Linked DNA regions of Canis lupus familiaris. The protein of the gene in region 1 interacts with the protein of each later gene in a biochemical or structural test. Links are inferred from orthologs where the notes say so. Each region holds a gene or a part of one and is shown on either strand. Other genes may lie near its edges.

Region 1 (3,789 bases):
TTTGTGTTCTCTAGCTCTCTCTCTGTCAAATAGGTAAAATAAAAATCTTAAAAAAAAGATTGTATCCTGTATACAGTCGAGATTATTGCATTATAATATTTGGTTTAATTTTGTGGATACCTTTGCAGTTTTTACTGACCTACAGATTGCTTTTTATTCCTATAAGGCTTCTCATAATATCCAACCATTGTTATTTTAAAATATCACTGCAATCAAGCCAAAGTGCATGTGGATGTTGTATTTTGTGACTTCTGAAATTAGAAGATTTTCCAAGTAAAAAGTTGGGTGGAAAACACCTAAAATTCACTACCATGTTTGCTTCAGCTGCGCATATACTAAAATTGGAATGATACAGAGATTTGTATAGCCCCTATGTAAGGATGGCACACAAATTCATGAAGTAGCTCCTATTTTTTAAAAAACGATGGTTTTCAAGTATTGATCACATTGCTAACTTTTAACAAAATCAGGTTATCCTATTTGGACGGAGAATACAAAAATGATATTTGATATTGAAGCTTAAGAGTTAACAATAATGAATTTGCACCTTGGCTAACTGCAGAACTTTTCACTTCTGCACTTCTAGGGTTGCCATCTACCAGGCTTGGCACCTTTCTGGAGAATCGTGTGAATGATTTTCTTAGACGTCAGAATCACCCTGAGTCGGGAGAAGTCACTGTTCGGGTAGTGCATGCTTCTGATAAAACTGTGGAAGTGAAACCAGGCATGAAAGCAAGGTATCCAATAATTTTCCCTTTTCTTCTCTTGTGGTTCTACAAGCACTTGACAGTTAATTGCTGATGATTCTGGTTTAACTGAGACCTCGTGTTTTTCTTTCCAATCTGGATTATGTAGGTTTGTAGATAGCGGAGAGATGGCAGAGTCTTTTCCTTACCGAACCAAAGCCCTCTTTGCCTTTGAAGAGATAGACGGTGTTGACTTGTGCTTCTTCGGCATGCACGTTCAGGAGTATGGCTCCGACTGCCCTCCACCCAACCAGAGGTAGGACTTGGCCCACTGCCTTCCAGTTGAGTGGGAGTTTGCAGTTCAATAGGCAAAAAGCATTGTGGGCAAGGAACTATTTGATGTACTTGCTTTGGAAATGGAAATGCAAACTGTGTTCATAGTAATAAGGAGGAGTATCAAACAGCCTGAAATGAGAAGTGGGAAGCAGACTGTTTTTCAGAAAATGGGCTTAATTCTTGATTGTGTTAGGTGCCTTGCCTGGGAGATAATGTGAAAGAATGTCACACAAGTAAAGTTAGGATATGGTTTAGAATTTGTTTCCAAAATAGTATAAAGGCCAGAATAAGAATGCTACCAGAATACACTTGGATCCATAAATACTAATACACTATGCTTCAAGCGCTGCTGGGTACTGAGGCTCACCAGACTCTCCTAAAGAGTGCACAGCCTAGTCATGTACTTAACTGTGACTGTGTGATGTGTATTATAAATGAGGTGAAAAAGAGCACAGAGGAGATTGTGTTTTTAGCCATATTAGTAAGAACTCCTTATGTGACTTGACATGGTTTCTTTCTCCCCACTTGATACAGGAGAGTTTACATATCCTACCTTGACAGTGTTCATTTCTTCCGTCCTAAATGCTTGAGGACTGCAGTCTATCATGAAATTCTAATTGGATATTTAGAATACGTCAAGAAATTAGGGTAAGCATATTGACAAATGCTATCTTTAAAAACAATGAGCTTAAACTAATTAAATTTTTAACTAATTACCACTGTGGTATTGTGGTGAAACTTAGATTAAAGCAGAGAGGTGACTTTGTTCCCTTTTCTCAGTGTTGCCAGTCGGACAGAAATGGATATGTTGACCCTAGTCATACTTATCCCAGATTAGTTTTCTTTTGTTCAGTTAAGGTGTTAGGTACAGTTTGATTGGAAGGTTGGTACTCATTCAGGGCCAGAACCTTGAACTGCAGTTGACCCTCTCATACCTAGGTATCAGAACCAAAATAGACTAGGGTCTGGAAATACTCAAATTAGCCTGATTCTTTACCTTCAGGGTATACGTGTGCTTGAGAACATTCACTACCGCACCTTGCAAGTTCTTCCTTTTATCACTTAGCTTTCTTCCATTCCTTGTTCCGTGTTGTTGGAATGGATCCATGTTCCTTTGCATTGTAGCTTTTCTTTTGTCTTCACATGCAAATTTGGGATTTGGGAATCCAGGGTTAGCCTCTAAGAAGAACTAGGCAATGTGACACCCATTGTAAGTGCTGTAGGTTAGGCCTGAATCTGGCCTAAGAATTTCGATCTGATTCTGGGTTGTACACTTGATATTGTCTTAGAAAAAAAATCATTGGTTTCCATATTGACTCCACGTTGTAGCATTCTTTCTGGAATAGATGATAAACTTTTCTCTTGAATATTCCCCCTCTTTGTGTTGTTAGATATACAACAGGACATATTTGGGCATGTCCCCCAAGTGAGGGAGACGACTATATCTTCCATTGCCATCCTCCTGACCAGAAGATACCCAAGCCCAAGCGACTACAGGAGTGGTACAAAAAGATGCTTGACAAGGCTGTGTCTGAGCGAATCGTCCATGACTACAAGGTCAGGAGGAATGGGGGGCGATGACTGATCCTGCAGCTCTGTATTCTGCTATTTGACTATCTTAACAAAAATCTTCTGTACTCCCTTTTTCAAACCAAGAAAAACTCAGTTTTAAATGTCTTAGATCAACAAATCTCTGTTTTAAAGATGTGATGAAAAACGTATTCTTAATAGCCATTCATGATTAGAGGGCATCTCATGATAAGAACTTGAACAGATAAGTTTCTTATCTGTTTTTACTCCTGGGGAGAAAAGTAAGAACTGGATGTTTTCCCAGGCAGCAGAGCAGAGCAGCCTGTGGCCATGCAGTTTCCAGTATTTGTGGTTTGGGTTGTTTTGAACATATTTCTCAGTCAGGGGATGGGTGATGGGAACAAGGCAGGCATTCCTCACATTGTATTGCATTGTGTCATCAGCAATAGTAAAGGCTGCGGCGTGATTGATGGGGCCTGAGCCATCAGTCCTCGCAGGAAGATGTCCCACTTGGCTTTATAAAGGCAGGTAACTTCCCTATCCTCACAGGCAGAGGAAAGACAGAACCAGAACCACTGACCTCAGACCTTGAGTTTTTACTGTTTAAGACTAAATGTCCCCCTGGGCCATGGGGCTTAGGTATAAATCTCTCTGCTGCCTTTCTTTCAGAAGACATTATAATCCTTCAGGTTTCTTGTGTCTGCTAGCTGTGACTGCTTCTGAATGATAAATGCTTCTTTAAAAAAAAAAAAAAACCAAATTCCTACTTGTACCTGGTATTTTCACAGGATATTTTTAAACAAGCTACTGAAGATCGATTAACAAGTGCAAAGGAGTTGCCTTACTTTGAGGGTGATTTCTGGCCCAACGTTCTGGAAGAGAGCATTAAGGAGCTAGAACAGGAGGAAGAAGAGCGAAAGCGAGAAGAAAACACCAGCAACGAGAGCACAGATGTGAGGGCTTTGCATTTTCCTTCCCAGCTTCCACCTTGATTCTCGAGTATAATCCGCCATCAGGCTTCAACTTTTGACTTGGTCTTAAAGCTTTCGGCGTGAAAGAGCTTTATTTTTTTTAATTAATCAATTATTTATTTATTTATTTTTGGAAAGAGCTCTTTAAATTGGTCAAGAAATAATTCTGTTTCAGTGGTTTTCAACCTTTTTAGCATCAGACCTCATTTTAACTGAAACCTTGGATTTCTGATAATGGAAAACAGAAGGAAACCCTGAAAAACTGA
Region 2 (4,544 bases), on another chromosome or scaffold:
CAGCGCAAAACTGGCAGGGTGGTTTCCCACTTTGCTAATTCAGGCCCACGGGCTGCTCAGTAAAAGGATACACGAAGAACCAGGCGGTAAAGAACATGCCAATTGCCAATAGCACCACGGTCAGATGGGGGAAGACGGCAGGGTTCACTGGGCTGGTGTATCTGCTCATGGCCTCGAGCTCCTAAGGGAGGGTATGAGATCAGAGCTATCAAAGAATCCCAAGACTTCAACCCGGGAATGGGGAATGTGAGGTCATCAAGGAGCCTCCTCCTGCTAGGACTGTTATGGGTCTGTTTCAGCCTGGGAAATATGGAAGTCCCTCGGAACCAACATCGAGCGATCCCATTCGGAAATGACAACAATGACATCTTAAAACTAAGGTGATACTTTACTTTTTCAATATGAGACAAGAAGGGCAGCTGAGGGTCTGATGCTGACACAGAAGGTGATCGATTAGCTATCAACCAGTGTGGTTCCTAACATTTTTTGAGACCGCTGAAGACTATTAAAAAACATGCGAGAAAAGGTATGGACTCTGCCCAGGGTAAACCACAAGCAAGAAGTCTGTCTCTAATTTTAGGAGCTGTACGGACCCTCGTCTGTGGACACCAAGCTCAGAATCCTGCTGTAATTCCGAGCCTGGGCCAGGACCCAATCTCAACTGCTACATCTGCGTGCTTCACCCCGTGCTGTTATGGAGTCTCAGGATCTATCGGCCAAGAGACTTCAGTTAATAATCTGGCTCTACCGAGTAACATGCATCTCAGTAGTCATTAATAACACCACTCAGGGATCCCTGGGTGGCGCAGCGGTTTGGCGCCTGCCTTTGGCCCAGGGCGCGATCCTGGGGACCCGGGATCGAATCCCACGTCGGGCTCCCGGTGCATGGAGCCTGCTTCTCCCTCTGCCTGTGTCTCTGCCTCTCTCTCTCTCTCTCTCTGTGACTATCATAAAAAAAAAAAAAAAATAATAATAATAATAATAACACCACTCATAGGGCTGATGTATGATTTAAGAAGGATGACCAACGTCAAAGTGTCAAAGCATGTAGCTCACTTCCTGGCATGGAGTAGTTGCTCGAACGGTGTCTGCTTCCTCTTCGGGCTTACAGGGAAGATTATGAGATAATGCCTGTGAAGGAGGGCTGTAAACGTAAAGTTCCGTACAAATGTTAACTTCCATTGTCACTCACCAGCCAACGCTCCTAAAGTCCAGAACATAACAACTCTAGAGAAATGAATTGACCCCATTGTCCTAAGAGACACTGGAATTCAATTCAGTAAACATTTGTGCCTCCCCGAACACGACAAAGACAATCGCTGCCATTTACTGGGCCTCCAATTGCGGGCCCTGTGTTGGGCACTGGGGGATACAAAGATGAATAAGACAGCGTCCCAGAGCTGGAGGCACGTCAGAGGCTGGTCACTCGGAGGCGTGGCAGATAACAAAGGAGTCCATGACCTGCGGCAACAAGCCTGTACAGAGGTCGCGGGAGCGCCCAGGGCAGAGCGGCCAAGCGCCTGGGAGAGCTGGACGGGCTTCACCAAGAAGGCGACACCTGCCCTGGGCCTTGTAGGATGAGCACGAGTTCGGCAAGGGGGAGAACCTTCCAAACAGACACAAGAGCTCAATCACAGCCGACACATAAAAGCTCACGGTATTAAAATGCACCTCACGCGGCTCACCCCTAAGAGTCGCGAGCGCGAAACCTCGGCCTAACGAGTCCACCGCCAGGGGCTTCCCTTCCCGCCCCTCGGCCCGAGCCGGAAGATACAGGAGCCTCCCGCCATCTGCATCCCGGCCGTCTGCGGCCTTTGCGAGAGAAATGGAATGTGGGGCGGGCCCCGAGGGGGCCTCAGGGACTCTCTCACCATCTCGCCAGGTGTAGGCTCATCCGCCGCTCCGCCACCGGAATCACACGTCGGCAGCAGGAGCGGGCGCTCTGTCCGGCCGGAAGAGGAAGTGCACCCACGCGCGTGGCATTGTGGGATCTGTAGTCCTGTGCGTTCGGGTGTAGCAGGGGCTAGTGCCTGTGGGCGCCTGACGTAGAGCCGGGGCAAGCGATGGAGAAGGGTAGGGTAGATCCCCTGAGAGGGTTCATTCGCCCCTGGCGGGACTGTTTGCCACGAGGGGAACTGGCCGAGGGGTCGGGGCACGGTGCACTACACTTCCCAGGAGGCTATGCGCGGCGGCGGGTCACGTGACGGGAGCGCGGGCTTTGGAAGGCGGCGGAGCGGGACCGGGTCTGCCGCAGAGTGGAAGCCGGGGAGGGCCTGAGCACTGTCCTGGGCAGCGCCGGACTGAGCACTAGCTGCGGAGGCCTCGCGCCGCAAAGGCCAGGTGAGGCCCCACGGGCAGCGCCCCCGAGGGCGGCGGGTCCGCCTCGCGCTGGGTGCTGTGGGGGACCGTCTGCCGCGCGCGGGGCGGAGGCCGGGGCGCGGGTTCGCCGCCCTCCCGCTGCGCGACTTGGGTCGGTCGCTTAACCTCTGAGCCTCTTGCTTCACTTGCGGAAGGAGGGAAGTAGCCTCCACTTTAGGGGGCCGTTGTGTATTTTGACCGAGATTCTGCACGAGGAACGTTTTGGAGACTTCGCTGGTCTGGACCCCTTTCCCGCCTCCCAGTGTTGGGGGCTGGGGGAGGCCAGCCGGCCGGCAGGTCCTGACCCCTCGGGACGCCTCCTAGCAGGACAGCCAGCCTGAAGCTGGACCCAGAGGATCGGATGTACGGATCCGAGCCCCCAGGGTGTGGCAGGAGTTAGAGGATGGCGGGAGGAAGGGCAGGTCTTATCCCATCCTTTGTGTTGGCCCCCAGACTGTGAAGGCAGGTTGGGAAGCAGAGCGCGGAAGATCCTGATGCCGGGTTGAGGTGTTTGGACTTAGGTAGAAGGGGGTATGTACAGGGTCCCTGATGCTTTAGAAAGAGCCCTTTGAAAAGTGGGAGCAACGAAAAGATCTAGTGTAATATTTCTTGGGCGTATCGGACACATAACACCAATGGGCACGCGATGACTTTTTAAGTGGCACCCAAAAAATCCTTTTTATTGTTATTTATTTATTTATTTATTTTGCAAAAAATCCTTTTTAATAGTTATACGTTTAACGCATTAAAATGTAACTGATACAGCACAGACATACTGCTTGAGTTCTCTTTTTCAACTTACCTTCGTTTTTTTTGTTTTGTTTTGTTTTTTTTTTAATATATTTTTTTTTAATTTTTTTTTTTATTTATTTATGATAGTCACAGAGAGAGAGAGAGAGAGAGGCAGAGACATAGGCAGAGGGAGAAGCAGAGGGAGAAGCAGGCTCCATGCACTGGGAGCCCGATGTGGGATTCGATCCTGGGTCTCCAGGATCGCGCCCTGGGCCAAAGGCAGGCGCCAAACCGCTGCGCCACCCAGGGATCCCTTGTTTTGTTTTTTTAAGATTTTATTTATTTATTCATGAGAGACACAGAAGAGAGAGGCAGAGATGTAGGCAGAGGGAGAAGCAGGCTCCAGGCAGGGAGCTTGATGTGGGACTCGATCCTGAGACCGACCGCAGGATCACACCCTGAGCCAAAGGCAGGTGCTCAACTGCTGAGCCACCCAGGTGTCCCTTACCTTCGTTTTTAAAACCATGGTGTCCATTTAAAAAAACAATATTAGGCGAATGAAAGTACGGGTTTTACATGGAAATGGCAAGACATTGTGAGGGTGATTTGGGTGTGACCGAATTTCGGGAAACACTACCCTAGGAAGTAATTTGTCCACAGAAGTGCAGTACGGGACTCAGGCCACTACAGCTTGCCGGGTTCCTAGATTGGGACCTAGGGTCTAGTAGGGAGCCATGAGTTCACATTTCAGACTTAGTGGTAGAGAGAAAATACAAAGGGAAAGCCTTAAAACTCCTAGCAACATCATAGAAGTAGAAACCAATCACCGTGTTGAGGGGACACTGAAGGGAGCTTGTGAGAAAGCCACATAACTCCTGTCCAGATATGATGTTCTTTGCCAATCCTCCTTCAAGGCTACTCTATGAGTCGGGGTTCTCCAGAGGAACAGTAAGATATAGGATGTGGACATATATAAGGAGATTTATCTTAAGGAAGTGGCTCAGGTAATTGTAGAGGTTGGCAAGGTTGAAAATGATCAGGCGGGACCTCAGGCTAGAAACTCATGCAAGAGTTGATGCTGCAGCCTTCAGGCCAAATTTCTTTGGGAAATCTCAGCTTTTGCTCCCAAGGCCTTACAGCTGAGTGAATGAGGCCCAGCCGTATAATGAAGGATGATCTCTTTTGCTTAAAGTCAACTGATGATAGATGTCCCAAAATACCGTCACAGCAACAACTGGATTAGTGTTTTGAGTAAATAACTACATGCCTTAGCCTAGCCTAGTTGGGACATAAAACTCACAGCTGCGAAGTGGCAGGGAGCCAGAGGCATTAGTTGGGGATGTTCAATGACTGGCAGAAAGGTACAGAGGAGGAATGTATGAGTTGTCAGCAAATTGGCAAGTAGATACTCATATTTATTTTGCTATTGTGCACATTCAGCCTTGTATCATGGT
Region 3 (4,243 bases), on another chromosome or scaffold:
TCTATGACTGCAACCGGCCCGGGGAGGAATGAATGATCATTCAAATCGCCAAACACAAACACGGGCCTCTTCGGGAATCTCTACGACCTTTGCTTGACAGGTGGAGGTTGGTTGAGTCAAGTGAGAGTCTGTGAGGTCCGGAGGAGTCCTGGCCATTAACCCCCTCCAGAGCCCTGCCAAAGGCCTTTCCCGAAGGAGGAGCGAAGAAAAGACCCACTCGGTGTAGGCCCTGCTTGCTCCCTTGGAGAAGGCTCGTCGGAACCAGGCGCCTTTTGCAGGTCGGGGCCGTGCAGGGTCAGCTTGGGGCGGGAACACGGGGTGTCGGCGGGGGAGGGGGGCATCGTCTGCAAGGATCCAATGGCCTTGGCGAAGCATCAGAGGAGCCCCCGAAGCTTTCACACAGAGAGTTCTGGGACCGAAAGAGCCAAGGCCTGAGCGCGCCCAGGCTGCGCCCGGACCCAGGGGTGATGTACGGGGGGCTTCGGACAGAGGCCGCTGAAGGCGAGGCGCCCCAGGCTGCACGTGTGCTGGGGGCAGTGACAGGCACAACATTTCTACCGTCGAGGCTGGGCCTGGGTGAGCCGGGGACGGAGGCCGCGCTTGCAGACCAACCCTGTGCGCCAGGCCGGTAGGTCTCCTTCGGGGTTTGGCGGGGATGAGGGGATGGCGGGCACACGCAAGCGTCCGCCACGCGGGGGAGACCCGAGGCGGGCGAGCCCGGGAGGGCAGCAAGTGTGGGGCGCGCCCCGGCGGCCACCGGAGCCAGGCCAGGCCGCTCCCCCGCGCGCCTCGCTCCCGGGGCTCCCGGGGCTCCCGGGGCTCCCGGCCCGTGCGCGCCCCGACGCCGGCCGCCCTCTCCCATCGGAGCCCCCCCTGCAGCCCCCCTCCCCCGCGCCCCCTCTCCCTTCTGCCGCCTGAAAGGGTTAATCTCTCCTGCGGGTAAAAACAGGTCCGCGGAGTCTCTAACTGGCGACAGATGGGCCACTTTCTTCTGGCCACAAAGGGGCCGGAATGGAGCGCTCCGCGGCATACAAATGGGCGGGTCACGTGGCCGCCGGCTCCTGGCTGGACCGGGAGGACCATATGGCGCATGCCGGGGAGGCAGGAGCTGGGGCGGGGGCAGGGCTGGGGGGAGCGGGCCGGGGGCGGGGTGGGGAGGGCGGGGGAGCGCGCGGCCCGGACGCGTGCGCAGGCGCGGGGCGCACGGACCTGCGGGCGCTCGGCTCCCCGCCCCGCCTGCGCGCGGCCCCGGCCGGCGGCTATATAACCCGGGCGCCCGCGGCCGGCGCGCGAGGAGCTCGCCCCACGCACGAGGCGCGGCGTCCGGGGCCCGGGGTTATGAGCCCGCCACTGCTCAGGACCTACTAACCGCCGCAGGTAAGCACGGCCCTCGCCTCGCTGCCCGGGGATCCAAGCGGTCGCGGAAGCCCCCGGCGTCCCCGCACGGATCCCGGGGCCCCGGACGCGCGCGTGCATCCACGGGCATCCCTCCCCTGCCCTCCCCTGCCCTGCCCTGCCCTGCCCTCCCCTCCCCTCCCCTCCCCACGCCACGCCGCGGGCAAACCCGCTCGCAGCTCGGCTCGCGTCCATCACCCAGCGCTGGCTCTCCAGTTTTTTTTAAAAAAATGTTTTAGTGTTTTGGTTTTTTGGGGGAGGGCCTCTTTGGGTTTTTGTAAATAATGCACCCCAACTCTGATGATTGGCTTGCTGGTGGTGATTTCAAAGTCCTGGAAGCAAACGACTACTTGACTTTCTCACTCCTTCTAGTAAGGGAAAAAAGAGAAAAAGAAAAAGAATAAGGAAAAAAAAAAAAAAAAAGGAAAGCCCTGTCACCAAGATGCATTTTGTGTGCATGTGTGTTATACGCGATTGGAAGTGCCGAGTTATCGTTTCAGTGACTAGAAGGGGCATTTGAGACCCGGAGTATATTCCCCCCCCCCCACACACACACACCCCATCCCCAAATAACCCACTTGACAGGTAGTTGGGTTGGGAGGGAGGGGGGATGTGGAGACGGGGAGAGGAGCCGACTCCTGCTACCTGTTACTGCTTCCGAGGCGGCCAAGTCCCCAGCAGCCAGCGCAGGAGCCAGAAATTCAGTTATCTCACTAAAGGCTCTTTTTTTTTCCTTAATTTTCTTTATTAGAAGCGGCAACTTCGCTCTTGCCAATCGCTGACCATCATAATTACTCAATCTTTTTAAAGAGAGGTTTGAGGCGAACTTTGAAAAGCCCCCAATAAAGAGCGGGCGGCCCTTTCAATGGGCTGTTTATTAGAGAGGAGCCTCCCGCACCTGATCCCAGGCGCCGGGCAGGGCGCTGTGCGCGGTGCCCCGGCCTCGCCCCGGAGCCTGCGCTTTTGTACAAGGTGGAAATTCAGCGGAGGGACAGGGATGGGGGGCGAGGGGGGAGGAAGGCGAGGCTGGCACGGGAGCCCCCTGCCCACTTCTGTTGCCACACGTTTCGTTGATGGCGAATTAATTGGACGGGAGCTACTTTTTCTCCGGCACGCATTTGCTCTTCAGTCTCGGGGTAGTGTGTAATCTTCTTAAAAATCACTGCCACCGTTAGTTAGCAAATTACGTAATGGCCCTTTGCAGCTGTAATCGCCAGGGCAGAGAAGGGGACGCACGGAATTGGGATTTTTTTTTTCCAAACTCATCATTTTATATGTGTGTGTGTGTGTGTGTAGTTGTGAGTGACTTTGAACTCACGCAGATAAAGGTGGAGTAGTCGGGGGGGGGAAAAAAAAAGCAAACAAACATGAAGTAGTGGAAATGCATGCTCATTTTCACGCATGTATCTCTCTGCCGCCTAAGCACCGTAAACACACTTTCACCCATCGCTAGGAAACACACCTGCTTGCTCTCTCCCCCACCTGCGCCGCTGCCCTCTGTCCCGGGGGCCTGTTGTCAATCAGGCCGGCTAAGTTTTTCTTAGGAGCATCTGTCTGGTCAGCAGCGGTCACTCCCTCGCGCGTGCATCTCTGCCAGGTTAGGGAGTGGGAGCGCGGGGAAGGCGCAGGTCGTTGGCGAGCCTAGCGCTTTTCTCCTTTTCTTTCTGTTCCCCTTCCCCCCTCCCCCCTGCCCCCGCCCCCTGTTGAATGTAGGAAACCGCATCATGACCAAATCGTACAGCGAGAGCGGGCTGATGGGCGAGCCTCAGCCCCAGGGTCCTCCCAGCTGGACGGACGAATGTCTCAGTCCTCAGGACGAGGAGCACGAGGCAGACAAGAAGGAGGACGACCTGGAAGCCATGAACGCCGAGGAGGACTCGCTGAGGAACGGCGGCGAGGAGGAGGACGAGGACGAGGACCTGGAGGAGGAGGAGGAAGAGGAGGAGGAGGACGACGACCAGAAGCCCAAGAGACGCGGCCCCAAGAAGAAGAAGATGACCAAGGCGCGCCTGGAGCGGTTCAAGCTGCGGCGCATGAAGGCCAACGCCCGGGAGCGCAACCGCATGCACGGGCTCAACGCCGCGCTGGACAACCTGCGCAAGGTGGTGCCCTGCTACTCCAAGACGCAGAAGCTGTCCAAGATCGAGACGCTGCGCCTGGCCAAGAACTACATCTGGGCTCTGTCGGAGATCCTGCGCTCGGGCAAGAGCCCCGACCTGGTGTCCTTCGTGCAGACTCTGTGCAAGGGCCTGTCGCAGCCCACCACCAACCTGGTCGCCGGCTGCCTGCAGCTCAACCCTCGGACCTTCCTGCCCGAGCAGAGCCAGGACGTGCCCCCGCACCTGCCGGCGGCCAGCGCGCCCTTCCCGGGGCACCCGTACCCCTACCAGTCCCCGGGGCTGCCCAGCCCGCCCTACGGCACCATGGACAGCTCCCACGTCTTCCACGTGAAGCCGCCGCCGCTCGCCTACAGCGCGGCGCTCGAGCCCTTCTTCGAGAGCCCCCTGACCGACTGCGCCAGCCCCGCCTTCGACGGGCCGCTCAGCCCGCCGCTCAGCATCAACGGCAACTTCTCCTTCAAACACGAACCGTCCGCCGAGTTCGAGAAGAGCTACGCCTTCACCATGCACTACCCCGCAGCGACCTTGGCAGGGCCCCAGAGCCACGCCTCGGTCTTCTCGGGCGCCGCCGGCCCGCGCTGCGACATCCCCATAGACAGCATCGTGCCCTTCGAGAGCCATTCGCATCACGAGCGAGTCATGAGCGCCCAGCTCAATGCCATCTTCCACGACTAGGGGGGCGCGTCGGCTTCAGCATCCCCCCCCCCCGCCCCGGGAGGGGCGCCCAC
Region 4 (3,789 bases), on another chromosome or scaffold:
ATGTCTCTGCCGTCGTTCTCCGTGCCCCCAGGCCCTGGGTCTCGCAGGCACCCCTGCGCTGTCCCAGCCGGGCCGCCTGTCCACGTGGCGCCAAGCGCGCCTCTTCCACGTCTCGGGGCGCGAATCCCGCTGGGCCCCCGGCGCACCGCTCTGGGCGGGCGGCTGTCGGAGCGGGCGTCCGCTTGTCTGTCTGTCTGCCCGCAGGATGACGGAGCGGCCGCCGGGCGAGGCGGCCCGCAGTGACCCCCCGCCGGAGGGACGGGACGCGGCCGAGGCCCGCATGGCCCCCCCGCACCTGGTCCTGCTCAACGGCGTCGCCAAGGAGACGAGCCGCGCGGCCCCCGCGGAGCCCCCGGTCATCGAGCTGGGCGCGCGCGGAGGCCCGGGGGGCGGCCCTGCCGGCGGGGGCGGCGCCGCGCGGGACGGGAAGGGCCGCGAGGCGGCGGCGGCCGAAGCGCGCCATCGGGTGCCCACCACCGAGCTGTGCCGGCCCCCGGGGCCCGCGCCCGCCTCGGCCCCCGCGGAGCTGCCCGGCGACGGCCGCATGGTGCAGCTGAGCCCGCCCGCGCTCGCGGCCCCCGCCGCCCCCGGCCGCGCGCTGCTCTACAGCCTCGGCCAGCCGCTGGCCTCGCTCGGCAGGTCAGGCCCGGGGGACGACGGGGGGGCGGGGGGCGCAGGAGGAGGAGGCGTTGCGAGCCCCGGGGCGGGTGTGCGTGTGCGCGGGGGCTCCGTGGGGCGGGCGCGCGAGCCAGTGTGCGAACCCGGAGGGTCCGCCCTGGGGAGCGCGGGCCGGGCTGCGTGTTGGGGCGTGTGTGTGCTGGGGTGGGGTGTGGACCCAAGGGAGTCGCCTGAGTGGGAGTCCCAGGTGAGAATGTGTCTGAATGCGCTCGCTGCTCTGAAATCCTTCTGGAAGCCGCAGCCCTCAGCGGACAGGTGAGAGGAAGGGATCTGAGGGTGGTTGCAGACGGCGCCCTCCCCGCCCTCCCCGAACTGCTGGCCCGGGTGGGGCGGTGGGGCGGGGATCCCTCCTCCCCTCTGGGGCCCCTCTGCCCCTGGCCCGGGCTGTGGTCTCCGGGCCGGGGCCTGCGCTCCCCTCCCAGTTTAGGTGTCCATTTCCCTGCTGGGGCCACTGAGATGGTGGGGAGATAGGGGTAGATTTAGGGTGGAGACCGGAAGGTGAGGCAAGGGTTGACAATGGGGGCAGCTAGTGGGAGACCCCGAGGAGGAAGAAGCTATGGAGAGCCCAGGGAGGGCAGTGAGGGGCATGTGAGCAGTGGTGAGGCCAGGTTTACTCTCTGTTGTCTGTCCACGGGCCCCATGGGGCGGGATGCAGGTGTGGTGATCTCTGGGGTGGGGGGCAGTGTGTCCTGTGAAGTGCTAGGGCTGCAGGTCGTTAGGTGTGAAGGCCACAGCTGCCTGTGTGAGTACCTGTGCAGGAGGGGAGGTGCCTGTGGATTGTGTGCTTGTGTCTGGGAAGGGGAGTACGTCTGCCTGAGGAGCATGTGTGTTCGTTTTTGGGTTTGCTCTGTGTGTTCACTTCTGATTGTGAAGGGTGGGGAGCGGTGTGTGGGCATGGGGCCCCTTCTCCCCTCGCTTGCCTCCCCAAGGGGAGAGAGTGGGAGCACTCTGTGACTGTGTGTGGCTGTCTGTGTGGGATGCTCCTTCTATCCCGGACTCAGGTGTGAAGGGAGCAGGGTGGCCCTTGTGTTTCCCCGGGGTGGGGCGGGCGCCCAGAGCACGCGGGATCGCTGAGGAGCCCGCCGCCCTCCACCTGCGTGTGAGCTTGTGCTCTGCTTACTCCCTTCCACAGTGGGTTCTTTGGGGAGCCAGATGCCTTCCCTATGTTCGCCACCAGCAACCGAGTGAAGAGGAGGCCCTCCCCTTATGAGATGGAGATTACAGACGGTGAGTCTCCCCGCCTCTTCCTTTGTGCTCACCCCTCCTGCTGGTCCGAGAGCCCCAGCAGGGGCCGGATCTTCAGGGACTACTCCCTAGGCGGCTCACATAGTTGGGGGTGGGGCTACCTGGGAATCCGAGTCTGCTGGAGTCCTTGCCCTGCAACTGCCCTGGGACCAGGCCAAGTCATGGGTGGGGCTGGGGGCCATCCTCACCATCCTGGGAAGAGGGAACATGGCAGTGAGGACACAGGGTGGCATTTAGCGCAAACCTCTGGGGTCAGCTGGCGTCCGTCCGCGCTCTAGTCCCCATTCGTACACTGTGCAAGAATCCCAGGGGAGGGCAGCACACATGGTGCTCCCTGCCTCTGAGCACCGAGCCTCAGAGATTTCTTGTACCTCCTCCCAAGGCCTTTTTTGGAGTCTGCTCCCTGCCTGGAATTGCACCGTCAAGGTCCGTGTCCCAGGTCCCTTTTTTGTGGGACCCTCTTGGCCCCTGTTCCATACCCAGGGCTGAGACCTGGCATTTCCTTCCTGACATCATAGATCCTACCCTGCCGTCCTCCCCTGCGTCCCCCAGAAGGCCCTCGCCAATACTCCTGTGAACTACCTGAGTAGTCTTGGGCGCTAAACTTGGGGAAGGAGTTGGATGGATGGGAAATTAGGAGTATCCTGTCCCTCTTCCCAGGGTTGACCTGATGTAGGAGATGGGACCCAACACCAGGGGGCAGGAGAGCAGGCTCTTCAGAGCCGGGGACCAGGAGCCCAACCCTGGAGCTGCCAGTGTGGGGCCTGGGGCTCCTGTAGGAAGGCCACCTGAGGCCTTGAGGCCAGACTGGGATTTAATCAAGGGGTCAGTAGGAGGGACGTGTACTGAGCTGGAGCTTCTGGAGAGGAGTCCTCTGTAGTGTTCTGGAGGGGAGGGGGCTTGGAGTCTGGACAAGGAACAGACCTCATAAGCCCTGAGCAGCCTGGGGCATGAGCTGTCGGTCCAAGAGGGAAGGGTGATGAGGTGTCAGTACTGCTGGAACTTTGGGGCTGATCCTGCTCCGAAGTTCTCCAGGGCAGAGGCCTTTTGCACAGAGGGCAGAAGCAATGAGAATCAGGCACAAAGGAGAGGAAGCAGGAGAAGGGGCCAGGGGGGTGAGGGTTTGGGGGGGAGTGCAGAAGTATAGGGAAGCCATTACTCATAAATGTCTGGATGCTGAGTAGGTGCAGAGAGGCAGGGCCGCAGAGGGATGGACAGGCTAGGGAAGAGGAAGGTGCAGAGAGGCGGATGGTTCTCTGGGAAGGTGCCAGAGAGGAACAGACAAAAACAGAGGTGAAGAGGAGGGTATGTGTTGTGTGGTATGCAGAGTACGTATGTCCATGGAGGTTTGAAACCAGAGATTTCACCAAAGAGTCCGAAGAAATGGAACTTGGTGTGGATTCCTGCTGCTGAACTTTTCTGGTTCTTATTTTCCTCATTTGTAAAGGGGGGAACCTCACAGGTTGCTGAGAGTCCAATGGGATAAAGTGTTTTTAGGGCTTGGCTGGGGATAGGTTCTGCTAACTGTAACTGGGACAGCAGTTGTAAGGCCCCCTCCCCACCCAGGAGCTCCCTCAGCGTCCTCCTGGGCAGGGACAGTCCTCCTTATGTCACAGCTGAGGGACACCCCTCTGTCTGGCGTGGAGACCAGAGAACATGGAGTTATTTCCTCTGCAGCAGCCCAGGATAGGACCGCCAGCAGGTGTGCTGTGTTTTTCCCAGCCTGGGTCTGGTCTTTGGCAAAGAGTCAGCTGGGCTGGGCCCTATGGGGGCTTGGAGAGCCAGCTTTCAGAGGCACGGGGGGCCAGGGGTGAGTGATCCTCTCAGGGATCTCAGGTGTGTGTGTATATGTGTGTGCATGCATGT
Region 5 (3,989 bases), on another chromosome or scaffold:
CGGGGGCGGCGGCGGGGCTGGTCGGGACTAGCCGTCCGGGGGCCCGGGCGCGCCCTGGGACCTGGCAGATACCCGGGCTCCCGGGTCCTGGCTCCGGGCCCCGGGACGGCGCTGGCCCCACCCCTTCCTGTGTCCTTATATGGGCGCGGGGGAGAGCCTCCCGGGGCCGCCCCGCCCCCAGTTCTGCCCGCGGACTCCGGCCTGTTGCCATGGCGACCAAGCCCGCTCCCGGGCGCGTCCCCCTCCGTCGGGCTAATGGAATCGTCCCCGGACCGCCTGCCTCCGCGGTCGCCTGCGGGTGCTGCGGGCTGAACCATTGCTGGGAGAGGGAGACTAGAGGCCTATGCGGCTGGGCGTGTTCTGCGCACCCTGGCCTCCGCCAGGGTCGCACGTCCACGTTCCTCTTCTGAGGCGCAGAACCCAACCGGACCCAGGGCGGGGCGCACGGTCCCGTAGGATCCGAGTGACGGAGGCAGGGCCGGGCTCCTTCCCCCGGGGCTGTTGCCACACTTCCTGCCGCGGCGCTCTTTCCCCAGCCTGTTTCTAAGGAAGGAGTGGGGTTGGGCGACCGCGCCCGGGCCGTCGGGGTAGGTTCAGCACCCTGAGTCGGCACGGTGTCGGTCAAGCCCCGGGTCACGGGGGGAGGGCTTGGAGATGGGAGCAAAGTATACTGGCGCCTAGAAAGCACCCACAAGAAGGGGTGGCCAGTCATGGAAGATCCAGCAGTCCAAATCCCCAGGATCCTCAAAAACCCCTCCTCTCATGTCTCAGCTGGAGACCCTGTGTCATTATCATCTCGGCTCTGAAAGTGTGTCCGGACTCTTAACTCTCCTTCATCAGGGCTTTGCAGATGACCCCAGTGACTCCCAACCTCTGACAGGGTCCCCCCCCCCATAATTTCCCAGACTCGGTATACCCCGGAGCCCTCACTTTCTACATAACTAGATTCCCCTTATGGAGGCCCTCAGTCTCTCCCATGGACTTCAGGACCCCTACTCATTTTTTGCATAATGGATCCTCCATCCCCTCCTTTTGCCCTTTTGATCCCCCCCTCACTTTTCCTGGGTTCAGTCCCTCTATTAAAATTCAAGTCCTTTAACCCCTCTGTACTCAGGACCCCCACACATTACCTTACCCCTCTCTCATTTACTCTGGTTGATCCTCCTGTCTCACCTTTGTGGGGTCTCCCTGTGTATATAATCAGCCCTTCAACCCCCCTCGAATACTCCGAGTCCCTCAGGCCTTTTGTGTACACCCTGGAGACCACCCCCGCCCTCCGCCCCAACACGCACACGCGCACGCACGCACACACACACACACACACACACACTTGCTTTGTAACAGTTCCTCGCATCCAGGGGAATCAGTGCCTTCCCTGGAGTCCCTCCCCGTGTATCTCGGACCAGCACCCCTTCCTTCGCGCACCCCGGGGTCCCCTGAGCCCCTCCCCCTGCAGCCGCGCCGAGCCACCCAGCCCGTGGCCGCTGTTTACAAGGACACGCGCTTCCTGACAGTGACGCGAGCCGCCTCCTCCCCTTCCCCACGCTGGAGGAGGGGGGCGCGGGGGCCCGGCTCGCGCGACGGCCAATCGGAGCGCACTTCCGTAGCTGACAATAGCCGTATAAAGGCGTGTGGCTCAGCCTGAGCTGCCGGGACCTTGAGCGCGGCCAGGCCAGCACCGGAGTCAGCAGGGAGCGGGGAGCAGGGGGAAGCGACACCAGGAAAGCGAGCGCGCCGGACAGGGGCCGAAGGGCTCGAGAAGCCGCACGGAGCTTCCGCGCACCGCCGCCGGCTGGCCTCTCCCGGCCGGTGCCAGCTCCTGGGAACGCGCGTCCAGATACCCAGTCCAGCCACCGTCGCGGACAGGGCGCCGCTCGCCGCAGCGAGGCCCGGGGCGGCCCCGCAGGGACCCCCCCAGACCGCCTGGGCCGCCCGGATGTGCACTAAAATGGAACAGCCCTTCTACCACGACGACTCATACGCAGCGGCGGGATACGGCCGGGCTCCGGGCGGCCTTTCTCTACACGACTACAAACTCCTGAAACCCAGCCTGGCGCTCAACCTGGCCGACCCCTACCGAAGTCTCAAAGCCCCCGGGGCGCGGGGCCCGGGACCAGAGGGCAGCGGTGGCAGCAGCTACTTTTCCGGCCAGGGTTCGGACACAGGCGCGTCGCTCAAGCTTGCCTCATCGGAGCTGGAGCGCCTGATCGTCCCCAACAGCAACGGAGTGATCACGACGACACCCACGCCCCCGGGACAGTACTTTTACCCCCGCGGGGGAGGCAGCGGCGGAGGTGCGGGGGGCGCCGGGGGCGGTGTCACCGAGGAGCAGGAGGGCTTCGCAGACGGCTTTGTCAAAGCGCTGGACGACCTGCACAAGATGAACCACGTGACGCCCCCCAACGTGTCCCTGGGCGCCAGCTCGGGGCCCCCGGCTGGGCCCGGGGGCGTCTACGCCGGCCCGGAGCCACCTCCAGTCTACACCAACCTCAACAGCTATTCCCCAGCCTCTGCGCCCTCTGGAGGCGCCGGGGCCGCCGTCGGGACTGGGAGCTCGTACCCGACGGCCACCATCAGCTACCTCCCACACGCGCCACCCTTCGCTGGCGGCCACCCGGCGCAACTGGGCCTGGGCCGAGGAGCCTCCACCTTCAAGGAGGAACCGCAGACCGTGCCTGAGGCGCGCAGCCGCGACGCCACGCCACCGGTGTCCCCCATCAATATGGAAGACCAGGAGCGCATCAAAGTGGAGCGCAAGAGGCTGCGGAACCGGCTGGCGGCCACCAAGTGCCGGAAGCGGAAGCTGGAGCGCATCGCGCGCCTGGAGGACAAGGTGAAGACACTCAAGGCCGAGAACGCGGGGCTGTCGAGCACTGCTGGGCTCCTCCGGGAGCAGGTGGCCCAGCTCAAACAGAAGGTCATGACCCACGTCAGCAACGGCTGCCAGCTGCTGCTCGGGGTCAAGGGACACGCCTTCTGAACGCCCCCCCATACGGACATTCCCCCAGTCTGGACGACTGGGCGCACGCCTCCCAAGGGGCGAGGGGGCAGGCGGTGGGCACCGGCCCCCGGGGCACCGCAAACCACACTGGACTCCTGCCCGCCCGCTCTGCGTCCAGTCCTTCCACTTCGACGTTTACAAGCCCCCCTTTCGCGTTTTTTTGTATGTTTTTTTTTTTTCTGCTGGAAACAGACTCGATTCATATTGAATATAATATATTTGTGTATTTAACAGGGAGGGGAGGAGGGGGCGATCGCGGCGGAGCTGGCCCCGCCGCCCGGTACTCAAGCCCGCGGGGACACTGGGGAAGGGACCCCCGCCCCCTGCCCTCCCCCCTCTGCATCGTACTGTGGATAAGAAACACGCACTCGGTCCCTAAAGAGTTTATTTTAAGATGTGTTTGTGTGTGTGTGTGTTTGTTGTTCCGACTTTTTATTGAATCTATTTAAGTAAAAAAAAAAATGGTTCTTTATTAATTTGTTGTCTTTTTTTCCAAGCCGGGCGGGAGGAGGGAGGAGAATAGTGGGCTGCCCCCACCCCACTCCTGCTTGTGACTCGCGCCAGTGTCCGTGTCCTCCTCGCCAGCTCTACCTAAGCATCTTGCAGCCCTAGTGCGGGCGGCGGACCCTTCTCTGGCCCCCTCCTCCCCGGGGTTGGAAGGGCCAGGGCGGGTACGCGGTCCAGCCGCCCATCACCAGGGGGCAGGAGGCCTGGGGCGAGACGCGCAGTGCGCGGGCGCAGCCCCGCCCAGCTGCGCGCGCTGGGGCTTTCCCCGCTGACGCAGCGGAAGCGCTGCCCCTACATGGGCCGATTCTGTCCAGTGACGCGCCGGCGGTCTCCGGGCAGATTCCGGGAATCCCCTCCCCCGCTCTGCCGGGCAGGGCTGCGGCGCCGGGAAGGGGGCCGGGATTTTCCCAGGCAGGCGGCTGCCGGGGCCCGGAAAGCCCCAGGCCTGGGTCCAGAGCGTCCGCGGTGGGAGGGCCAAGCT
Region 6 (4,265 bases), on another chromosome or scaffold:
CCCTGAATCCCAGCTGTCGGTCTCTGAATGAAAGGAAACAAGATTTAGGGCATCAAGCGTCGGTGAGGCTTCTGGAGGAAAAGAAAAAGGCCCCAAAAAAGCAAAAAAAAAAAAAAAAAAAAAAAAAAGTAGTGTGCATTCATTAGCGTCTGACAAAGACACAATCCTCTTTGTCTATTAAACTGCTCACAGACCTGTTTAATTGGCTTCAGTTTGGGGAGGGTGGGGGCAGCGAAGGAGGGGCTGCCTGCCCACGGGCCAAGGGTTGTCAAGGGAAGGGGCCCTCGGCAGTGGGAATGCAGCACGCTGAGGAGGACCCAGGACCGGCTGGGGAGCCCTTGCTTCCTTTGTGCCCCCCACCCCCACCCCCGCCCTGCGCCCCGGCGGGAGGAGGGGACCTTTTTCCAGCCACCAAGCACCACCTCATAGTCCCATCAAGGAAGAAGTCAAGCTGAAGGGCACCAGCCACAACAGAAAAACTTTGGTGAGGCCGCTGCGCAGGGGCAGGCAGGGCACACAGGCGAGGGTGCATGGGCAGGCAGGGTGCGGACTCTAACAGGACTCCCCGCCCGAGGCGGGGGCGCCCCCGCAGGACACACACATTCCCACTCCAGCTGCGGACCAGCCCAGCAGGTGATGGGCCGGATGGCAGCAGGGCTGAAGCTACAGATGCCAAGACAAAGACCAAGCTCTGGCAGGTACACTCCCACCCACCCCTAACCTATGAGATGGGCTCCCGAAGAGTTCCCCAACCTCACCTGAGGTTGGAGAGGGGGTGCTAGAGGCCGCAGAGGGCCCAGAGGGGTGGGGCTGAAACAGCCCATTTCTGTGAGGGTCAGCACTGGCTGATCTTCGGGAGGCACCCCTATGGGCAGGGCTTCTCTAAAGGTCCACAGCCTCCCCTGGCAGGGCAGTCGTTTCTCAGAGACTTTAGGAAGAAACGGGGTACTGGGAATCCCCACCTAGCACCCCAGGAGTCCAAGGTGGTGCACAAGGCGTGCTCGAACCTCCAGCGGCCAGACCAGCTCCACACGCAGCATAATTGCTGGTGATTAAGTAATTGCCAGACTTTGTCCAATAAAAGTAGCACGTGACCGCGCCCAGCCTTCTGGGCCATCTCCAGAAGACAATGGCCTAGTGTTCTGTCCCTGCTGGCCCCTGCTGCAGAAGGCAGGGGCTCTGCTCCCGACAAAAGCAACAGGTCCCCACAGGGGCGCAGGGGTGCGTACTCACACACAGGCTTCTGTGCCGTTGAGGAACACTTCACACTTCCCGCCATTCAAGCAGCTCTCACTGGGCTGGGAACATCGCAGACCTGGGAGGGGCGAGGCAAGAGATCAGCCTGGGTGGCACAAGGGCCCTCAGCCCAGGGAAAGGCCCACCCCAAGGGGTACAGCAGCCCCTCACCTAGACAGCTCTGCCTCATCACGGGGTTGCTGGGGGCAGGGGACCTCAGGAACCCTCCCAAATGGGGACCCCAAAGGGCTTCCACATTCTGCCCAGAGTTCTGTAGTCAGAAACGGGGCGGGGGGGGGGAGGGCAACAGGTTGGCAGGGTGGCAGGTGGACAGGTCATGCTCCATATGGGCCAAGGAGGCCTGAAATGCCATCTGGACAACAATGAAGGGAATCTGAGATGTCCCTGGGCCACTCTTCCAAACTCTGCACCCCCAACCCATCTTCAACGGGGAGCCCAACTGGGCTGGGGCCCCTATCCAGCCACCAAGATTGTCTTGCAGTTCAAACATGTTCTGGGAGGGGGCGGTGCTGAGGGGTGGGGTGGCCACACTGCCCCCCACCCCAGCTCGTGGGAAAAGGCGACAGCTGCAAAGCTCAACGCCCCGCCCGCCGAAAAAGCGCCAGCCTCGGAATCAGAGCAGCCCATTGTCAACAGGGCCGCCTCCTGGGGCAGTGGGGCTGCACCTCGGGGACCCGGAGCCGCCTCCAGGACACCCAATACCTGCTCTGCGTCGGTCACCCCCAGATACACCCAGGGGAGGAGGATGGAGATGCCCTATTTGGAAAGAATTCGACCCCATTCCCAAGAAGGGATTAATCCAGTCGTTCCCTCCCCGTGGTACCAGCGACCTGTGAATTAAGCCCCTTGGGGGGGGGGGTGCAGGTACGGGATGTGACTTGGAACCCCACCTTCTGGAAGCAGGGAGCTAATTCTCCCCACGAACTTTCAGGGGAAGAGAGGACTCAGTCACCACCGGATCCCTGATGTGAAGTGGAGAGAGAAGCGTTCCTTCTCCACGGCCTCTCAGCCCTCGCTACATTTCTAAACTTGAACTCCGCAAAGTGAAAGTCAGGCCGGTAGGGGCTGGGTGTTCCGCACCCCGCACCCCCCCCCCCACCGGCAAGCTGCATGGGAGCGGGGACGGGGGTGGCGATCGGACGTGGGAAGGGGGTGCTGCGTCCTTCCCTCGCCAGCCCTCCCGAGCGCTGAGGCCGCCCGGCCCCACCCGCCCCGCATTGCTCCGTAAGGGCAGCGCCGCGCCTGGACCCCACGCTCCGCGCCCGGCATCCGCGCCCGGCATCCGCCCCCGGCGCGGGCCAGAGGCGACGAAAAAGATAAATGGTCCCCAAAGCAACAGGAAACCAAAACCGACTCGATTCAAATCGAAAAGGAGTAGGCAGCCAGCCCGCCTGCCCCGGCGGCAAGCCCCACGCGTGGCTGACGGAGGGCGAGCCCAGGGCTGGGCCCGCCGGGGTCCCAGGCGCTCCGAGCGCCCCGCGCCCGGCTTCCTTCACACCGGCTCCGCGCGCGGGCGGCGCGAGCCCTTCCCGTCGGTCCTTCTCCTGCGCCCGGGGTCGCCCCGCGCCCCTCTCCCGCCCCTGCCGCCGGCTCCGGGCCGGCCGGGGCGCGCGCGTAGGCGCCGCCAAAGTTTCCGGAGGGCGCAGAAAGTTGCGGGCTCGCGGGCGGGCGCCTACCTCGTGCGGCGAGCGCGGGCAGCAGCGCCAGGCAGAGCAGGGGAGGCAGGAGCGGCGGCATGCCTGCCCGCCCGCTGCCCGCTGCCCGCGGCGGCCTCCCGAGCCGGGACAGCGGGGCTGCCGCGCACGGGGCGCGCCGGACGGTCCCACGAGCGGCGGTGGCGGCGGCGGCGGCGGCGGCGGCGGCGGCGGCGGCGGCGGCGGCTCCCGGCTTCCCGGCGGGCGGGCGGGCGGGCGGGCGACGCGGGGCCCTCGCGGCCTCGGGCCCGGCTCGCGCCCCGGCTCGTTCCTCCGCTGCGCTCGCGCCCGTGCCCGCGCCCCGCGCCCCTGCGCTCCCTCCCGCGGCCGAGGCACTAGTGAGGCGCAGGCCGCGGTGCGCTCCGCCCCCCCTCCGGCCCCGCCCCTCGGGCCCGCCCTGCCGATCCCTCCGCACCCCTCGCCCTCGCCCTCGCCGGCTGCGCCCCTGCGTGCCCCGCGACCTCCCCGCGTCTCCCCGCAGCTGGGCGCGCCTCGGACGCCCGGGCCCCCGGGGGCCGGGGGCCGCGGCGGGGCGAAGGGGCGTCGGAGGTCGGACCTAGGGACTACTTCTTGTTCGAAAGTTTTCAGCGGCAAAAAGTTTGGTTCAGGACTGCGGAAGGATCCGCCTCTGACTTACGCCGCGCTCGGCGACAATTGACAAAGATTTGCATCTCAATAGCCGAGGAGGTGCGAGCTGAGTGGGGCGAGTGGGGCCTAAGGGTACGTGCGCGGCTGAGGAGCTGGAGGAGCGGCCAAGGCCTGTGGGGGACCCGGGGCCGTGACTGGAGCTCGGGGAGGACTCGTGCCCCCCCGGCCGTAGGGAAGCCCCCGACCCAGGGGCTCAGGTCCCCGTGGCGAGCCTCCAGGAGACAGGCCGGGCACTTGACCCCCAGGGATGGCGGCGCCGGGGCCTCTGTTTCTGGAGAGCGCTGGGTGCCCCAGTGAAACCACCTGGGGCCAACGGCTGCCCAACGGACTGCGCTGCTACTACTCCCCCAGGAGGGACCCGCCTCCAGACGCTCTTGCTCGCTGACCAGCCCCTTCTTCAGGCGCCTCCCTTTCAGATGCCCGGCAAGCACACGAGTCCAGCAGACCCTCTGCGAGCCCCAGGGCAGCCCTGGGCCCCTCCCACGTGCTCCTTCCGGATGATTTATTTCTCCGCCACGATGCCAGATTTGGGCATCCTGTGCCAAGTGGGGTTAAGCTCTGGGCATTCCAGATGCCTGCCACGGCCCCTGCTGAAACCAAAGTTCATGGCCTGGCCCTGGGGACAGACACCCCCATCCCAACAAAGGTTGGTCAGCACCGTGGGAG
Region 7 (3,789 bases), about 24 Mb from region 1:
CCGACTTGGGTGCACTGCACAACCTGCATAATAACCACATTGGGGCTCAGACAAGAAGGAGGTTGACTTGGTTGGGGGTTGGACAAAGGGAGGAGGGGAGGTCTGGAATGAAGTAGGATTTTTGTTGTTTTCCTGCTGAGTATTTAGAATAACTCTTCTCCTCTTCTCCATATATCTTCTTCCTCCTGGAATAGCTTCCGGAAGTTCAACATTCTAACCTCAAACCAGAAAACCCTGACCCCCGAGAAGGGGCAGAGTCAGGGCTTAATTTGGGACTTCGGTTACCTGGTAAGAAGGGCTAGCAGCCTAAGGTTCTGGTCCGGTGCAACGGGCTGAGGGAAGTTCCCAGGCCTTGGGAAGTCTTGAGGCGAAATAGGGGTTCCAGGGACCCTGGAGTCCTCACTCTGGCATTTATTTTATTTCCTGTCAACTCACAGACTCTGGTAGAACAACGTTCAGGTGGCCCAGGAAAGGGCTGCAATAAGGTGAGGCCTGGCCAGAGCAGCGGGGGGATGGGAGGAGCTTGCCACAGGGCCCGCTGACCGCTGTGTCTTCGGCTGTCCTAGGGCATGCTGGGTGTGACGGAGGAACTGCACATTATCAGCATTACAGTCAAATACACCTACCAGGGTCTGAAGGAGGAGCTGAAGGTGAGTGGAAATGGAGGGCAGGGAGAGATGAAGCAGATCTGGCGGAAGGCATTCAGGAGGCGTTAAAGGAAGCCTCTCCAGTGGGAAGTTCTCCTTTGCCTCTGTCAAAGCTAGAAACATCCCATCCCTCTCTCTGACTCTTGTTTTCTCTTCAGACAGACACCCTCCCTGTGGTGATTATTTCCAATATGAACCAAGTTTCCATTGCCTGGGCCTCGGTTCTTTGGTTCAATCTGCTTAGCTCAAACCCCCAGGTAGGAGATGGTGCTAATGGTGCTGGGTGGCAAGGAAGGGTGTGGACGCTTGGCCTGAGGGTGCTCCTTCTGAGCCATCCTGCCCTCTTCCCACTCTTGCAGAATCAGCAGTTCTTCTCCAGCCCTCCCATGGCACCCTGGAGCTTGCTGGGCCCTGCTCTCAGCTGGCAGTTCTCCTCCTATGTTGGCCGAGGCCTTGACCCAGACCAGCTGAGCATGCTGAGGAACAAGCTCTTTGGTACAAACCTCCTTTTCTCCCAGCCTTTCCCCAGCCGTAGTCTCCCCAGCCCTCCACCCTTTCTATTCCAAGGACCCTGGCCTTGCCTGCATCGATTACCTGAACTGTCTGTCTGTCCACAGGTCAGAACTCTAGGACTGAGGGCGCATTGTTATCGTGGGCCGACTTCACTAAGGTAACTCCCTGCATCCTGTGTGACTACGTCTAGCCCCTGTGCAAACACTAGTCCTTGCCCTCCTTACTGCCATCTGCTCACTGGGGGCGACTAATCATGTCTCTTCCTGCCTTTTCATTCCTCCTGCAGCGAGAGAGCCCTCCTGGCAAGCTACCATTCTGGACGTGGTTAGACAAAATTCTGGAGCTGGTACATGACCACTTGAAGGATCTCTGGAATGATGGGTAAGGCCTTGGTCAGTCTCCCTCGCCCCACCCCTAGCTTTCTGCCTTTCTGGGCTCGAGTGGACTCTGTGCGCCCTCATGTGGCAGAAAGGGAGAGAGCAAGCAAATGCTGGTGCAAGGTCACGCGCCTGACGTTTTCGCTCATGATAATAGTCCTAGCATCTGTTGTGCTCCAGAACCTGCTGGATGCTCCTTATGAACTCTCTCGTGTAATCCTTACAACCGTGTGGAGTCAAAGAGAAGTTAAAGAATTCACTCAAAAAAAAAAAAAAAAGAATTCACTCAATGAAAAAAAAAAAAAAAGAATTCACTCAATGGGCCTGCTTGGGACTCAAACCCAGGCCTCATCTGACTGCAGGCCTGTGCTCTTCCCATCACACTACCTGCTCATTTGCCTTTCCAAGGTGCTTTTTCATCTGTGACCACACTGAATCCTCAAACCTCTTCCAGCCCTAGAAGGTGGATACCGTCAGTAAGAGGAAGTGACTTGGCCAAGAGCAAGGGCCAAACCCTGGCGCTGTCTCCCTGTACAAGGAGAGCAGGACAGCAGGACAGCAGGGAGGCATGAGGGCCTCACAGCAGCTTTCTGTTTCAGACGCATCATGGGCTTTGTGAGCCGGAGCAAGGAACGCAGGCTGCTGAAGAAGACCATCTCTGGCACCTTTCTCCTGCGCTTCAGTGAAACATCAGAAGGGGGCATCACCTGCTCCTGGGTGGAACATCAGGATGATGGTCAGCTGCTTCGCCCCGATGTTCCCACAGCCTGTCCTTTATGTCCCTCTGCCAGCCCTTGGCTTCCCTGGTTCTGTCTTGAATCCCTCAGCAGGTTGGGGCTTAGATGGCCAGGGTGGGGGACTCCTAGACCCGACTGTTTCAGGCCTGCCTCTTCCCACATCCATTCTGCAGATAAGGTGCTCATCAACTCTCTGCAACCCTTCACCAAGGAAGTGCTTCAGTCTCTCCCACTGACCAAAATCATTCGCCACTACCAGCTGCTTACCGAAGAGAACATACCTGAGAACCCACTGTGCTTCCTCTACCCCCGAATCCCCCGGGATGAGGCTTTTGGGTGCTACTACCAGGAGAAAGGTAAGGATCGTTGATGTATGTCACTGAAGATTGCAGGGACTCAGGCATCTACAGATCCAGCTCCTTTCTTCCAGACATGGAAAAATTGGTAGCCAGAGAAACGAAAGGATTTGTCCCTGGGACATGGCTAGTTAGTAGGGAAATACAATTATCAAGACCGTTTACACGAGGGGTCCTTGGGCCAGGTGTCCAGTCCACTGACCTCCCTGTCCTCCTGCATATGTCCCCCACAGTTAATCTCGAAGAACGGAGGAAATACCTGAAACATAGGCTCATTGTGGTCTCTAACAGGTGAGAGATGCATTTCTTGCCCATCCTCCCTGGCCTTTGCTGGCTGATGTGGCGACCCAAACCCGCTCAGTTTGCCTCTCTGGCCTTCTTTCCTACGGGCCCATAGTCTCCAACCTCTAGGTTTTTTCCCTCGTTCTGCTAGCCTCTTTGTTCCCTAGTGCTCTGCTGCTATCCTTAGGTTGTTTCCACAGGGCTTCCCTGCTAATCAGAGTCATAATCACTGACGTTAATGGGCATCTACTTGAAGCATAGTACTAGATTTTTTTTTTTTTTTAGAAACAGATTTCTTTTTATTTTATTGAATTCTTCTGAGAACCCATCCAATTAGGTGATAACAGCCATATTTAAGAAAGTTTATTATGTGGCAGGTACTGGACTAAATATTTTGCATTTAGTTTCTTATTTATTGAATCTCCATAATAGTCCTGTGAGGCAGACATGGGTATTTCAGCCGAAGAGCCTGAGGTTTAGTGTGGTGAAATGGCATGCCTAAGGTACATGGCTAGTAAATGATCCAGGTCTGTCAGATTCCAAAGTCCTGCTTTTAACCATCCTACTCTCTGAAGCGTTATTAGGTGGTGATGGTTCCATTTTATCGATGATAAATCTGAGGCACAGAAAGCTGAAGATCACCTATCTAATAAATGATAGGATTCAAACTCTGGCAAGCCTAACTCCAAAGCCTGTGCTCTTAAACCCTCTGCTGTATTGCCCTGTTGCCACCTTTAAAAAAAAATTTTTTTTTTTAATTTATTTAAAAAGAGAGAGAGAGAGAGAGAGAGAGAATGCACGAGTAGGGCCGGGGTAGGAATAGAGGGACAAGCAGAGAGAATCTCAAGCGGACTCTGCTCTGAGCATGGAGCCCGAC

The links.
Region 2: of the proteins of EP300 (region 1) and FEN1, one has a biochemical effect on the other in vitro, tested with the Homo sapiens proteins (2 studies listed by BioGRID, with this or other methods). The link is inferred for Canis lupus familiaris from reciprocal best matches to the Homo sapiens genes EP300 and FEN1.
Region 3: the proteins of EP300 (region 1) and NEUROD1 form a complex in vitro, tested with the Homo sapiens proteins (3 studies listed by BioGRID). The link is inferred for Canis lupus familiaris from reciprocal best matches to the Homo sapiens genes EP300 and NEUROD1.
Region 4: the proteins of EP300 (region 1) and TAL1 form a complex in vitro, tested with the Homo sapiens proteins (3 studies listed by BioGRID, with this or other methods). The link is inferred for Canis lupus familiaris from reciprocal best matches to the Homo sapiens genes EP300 and TAL1.
Region 5: the proteins of EP300 (region 1) and JUNB form a complex in vitro, tested with the Homo sapiens proteins (2 studies listed by BioGRID, with this or other methods). The link is inferred for Canis lupus familiaris from reciprocal best matches to the Homo sapiens genes EP300 and JUNB.
Region 6: the proteins of EP300 (region 1) and NOTCH1 form a complex in vitro, tested with the Homo sapiens proteins (2 studies listed by BioGRID, with this or other methods). The link is inferred for Canis lupus familiaris from reciprocal best matches to the Homo sapiens genes EP300 and NOTCH1.
Region 7: the proteins of EP300 (region 1) and STAT2 form a complex in vitro, tested with the Homo sapiens proteins (3 studies listed by BioGRID). The link is inferred for Canis lupus familiaris from reciprocal best matches to the Homo sapiens genes EP300 and STAT2.

What each region holds. Positions count from the first base shown.
Region 1 is NC_049231.1:25,041,473-25,045,261, reverse strand, and holds part of EP300 (histone acetyltransferase p300), read left to right. Parts: intron 1-313; exon of another isoform or gene 314-415; intron 416-586; coding exon 587-737; intron 738-855; coding exon 856-1,002; intron 1,003-1,556; coding exon 1,557-1,670; intron 1,671-2,413; coding exon 2,414-2,579; intron 2,580-3,340; coding exon 3,341-3,505; intron 3,506-3,789. UniProt on the Homo sapiens protein: Functions as a histone acetyltransferase and regulates transcription via chromatin remodeling. Acetylates all four core histones in nucleosomes. Histone acetylation gives an epigenetic tag for transcriptional activation.
Region 2 is NC_049239.1:55,292,785-55,297,328, reverse strand, and holds the start of FEN1 (flap endonuclease 1), read left to right. Parts: upstream 1-1,469; 5' UTR 1,470-1,657; exon of another isoform or gene 1,658-1,871; coding exon of another isoform or gene 1,872-1,894; exon of another isoform or gene 1,895-2,073; intron 2,074-2,099; exon of another isoform or gene 2,100-2,340; intron 2,341-4,544. Other genes in the region: TMEM258 (transmembrane protein 258), read right to left, coding at 72-181, 1,057-1,144, 1,872-1,894. UniProt on the Homo sapiens protein: Structure-specific nuclease with 5'-flap endonuclease and 5'-3' exonuclease activities involved in DNA replication and repair.
Region 3 is NC_049257.1:25,207,293-25,211,535, reverse strand, and holds the start of NEUROD1 (neurogenic differentiation factor 1), read left to right. Parts: upstream 1-1,247; 5' UTR 1,248-1,377; intron 1,378-3,108; 5' UTR 3,109-3,119; coding exon 3,120-4,190; 3' UTR 4,191-4,243. UniProt on the Homo sapiens protein: Acts as a transcriptional activator: mediates transcriptional activation by binding to E box-containing promoter consensus core sequences 5'-CANNTG-3'.
Region 4 is NC_049236.1:13,539,007-13,542,795, forward strand, and holds part of TAL1 (T-cell acute lymphocytic leukemia protein 1), read left to right. Parts: intron 1-204; 5' UTR 205-205; coding exon 206-639; intron 640-732; exon of another isoform or gene 733-871; coding exon of another isoform or gene 872-933; intron 934-1,810; coding exon 1,811-1,905; intron 1,906-3,789. UniProt on the Homo sapiens protein: Implicated in the genesis of hemopoietic malignancies. It may play an important role in hemopoietic differentiation. Serves as a positive regulator of erythroid differentiation.
Region 5 is NC_049241.1:49,756,897-49,760,885, reverse strand, and holds JUNB (transcription factor jun-B), read left to right. Parts: upstream 1-1,640; 5' UTR 1,641-1,936; coding exon 1,937-2,980; 3' UTR 2,981-3,477; downstream 3,478-3,989. UniProt on the Homo sapiens protein: Transcription factor involved in regulating gene activity following the primary growth factor response. Binds to the DNA sequence 5'-TGA[GC]TCA-3'.
Region 6 is NC_049230.1:48,973,206-48,977,470, reverse strand, and holds the start of NOTCH1 (neurogenic locus notch homolog protein 1), read right to left. Parts: upstream 3,049-4,265; 5' UTR 2,995-3,048; coding exon 2,934-2,994; intron 1,316-2,933; coding exon 1,234-1,315; intron 1-1,233. UniProt on the Homo sapiens protein: Functions as a receptor for membrane-bound ligands Jagged-1 (JAG1), Jagged-2 (JAG2) and Delta-1 (DLL1) to regulate cell-fate determination.
Region 7 is NC_049231.1:996,614-1,000,402, reverse strand, and holds part of STAT2 (signal transducer and activator of transcription 2), read left to right. Parts: intron 1-194; coding exon 195-288; intron 289-437; coding exon 438-485; intron 486-566; coding exon 567-650; intron 651-805; coding exon 806-904; intron 905-1,006; coding exon 1,007-1,142; intron 1,143-1,264; coding exon 1,265-1,317; intron 1,318-1,446; coding exon 1,447-1,541; intron 1,542-2,136; coding exon 2,137-2,273; intron 2,274-2,447; coding exon 2,448-2,630; intron 2,631-2,863; coding exon 2,864-2,921; intron 2,922-3,789. UniProt on the Homo sapiens protein: Signal transducer and activator of transcription that mediates signaling by type I interferons (IFN-alpha and IFN-beta).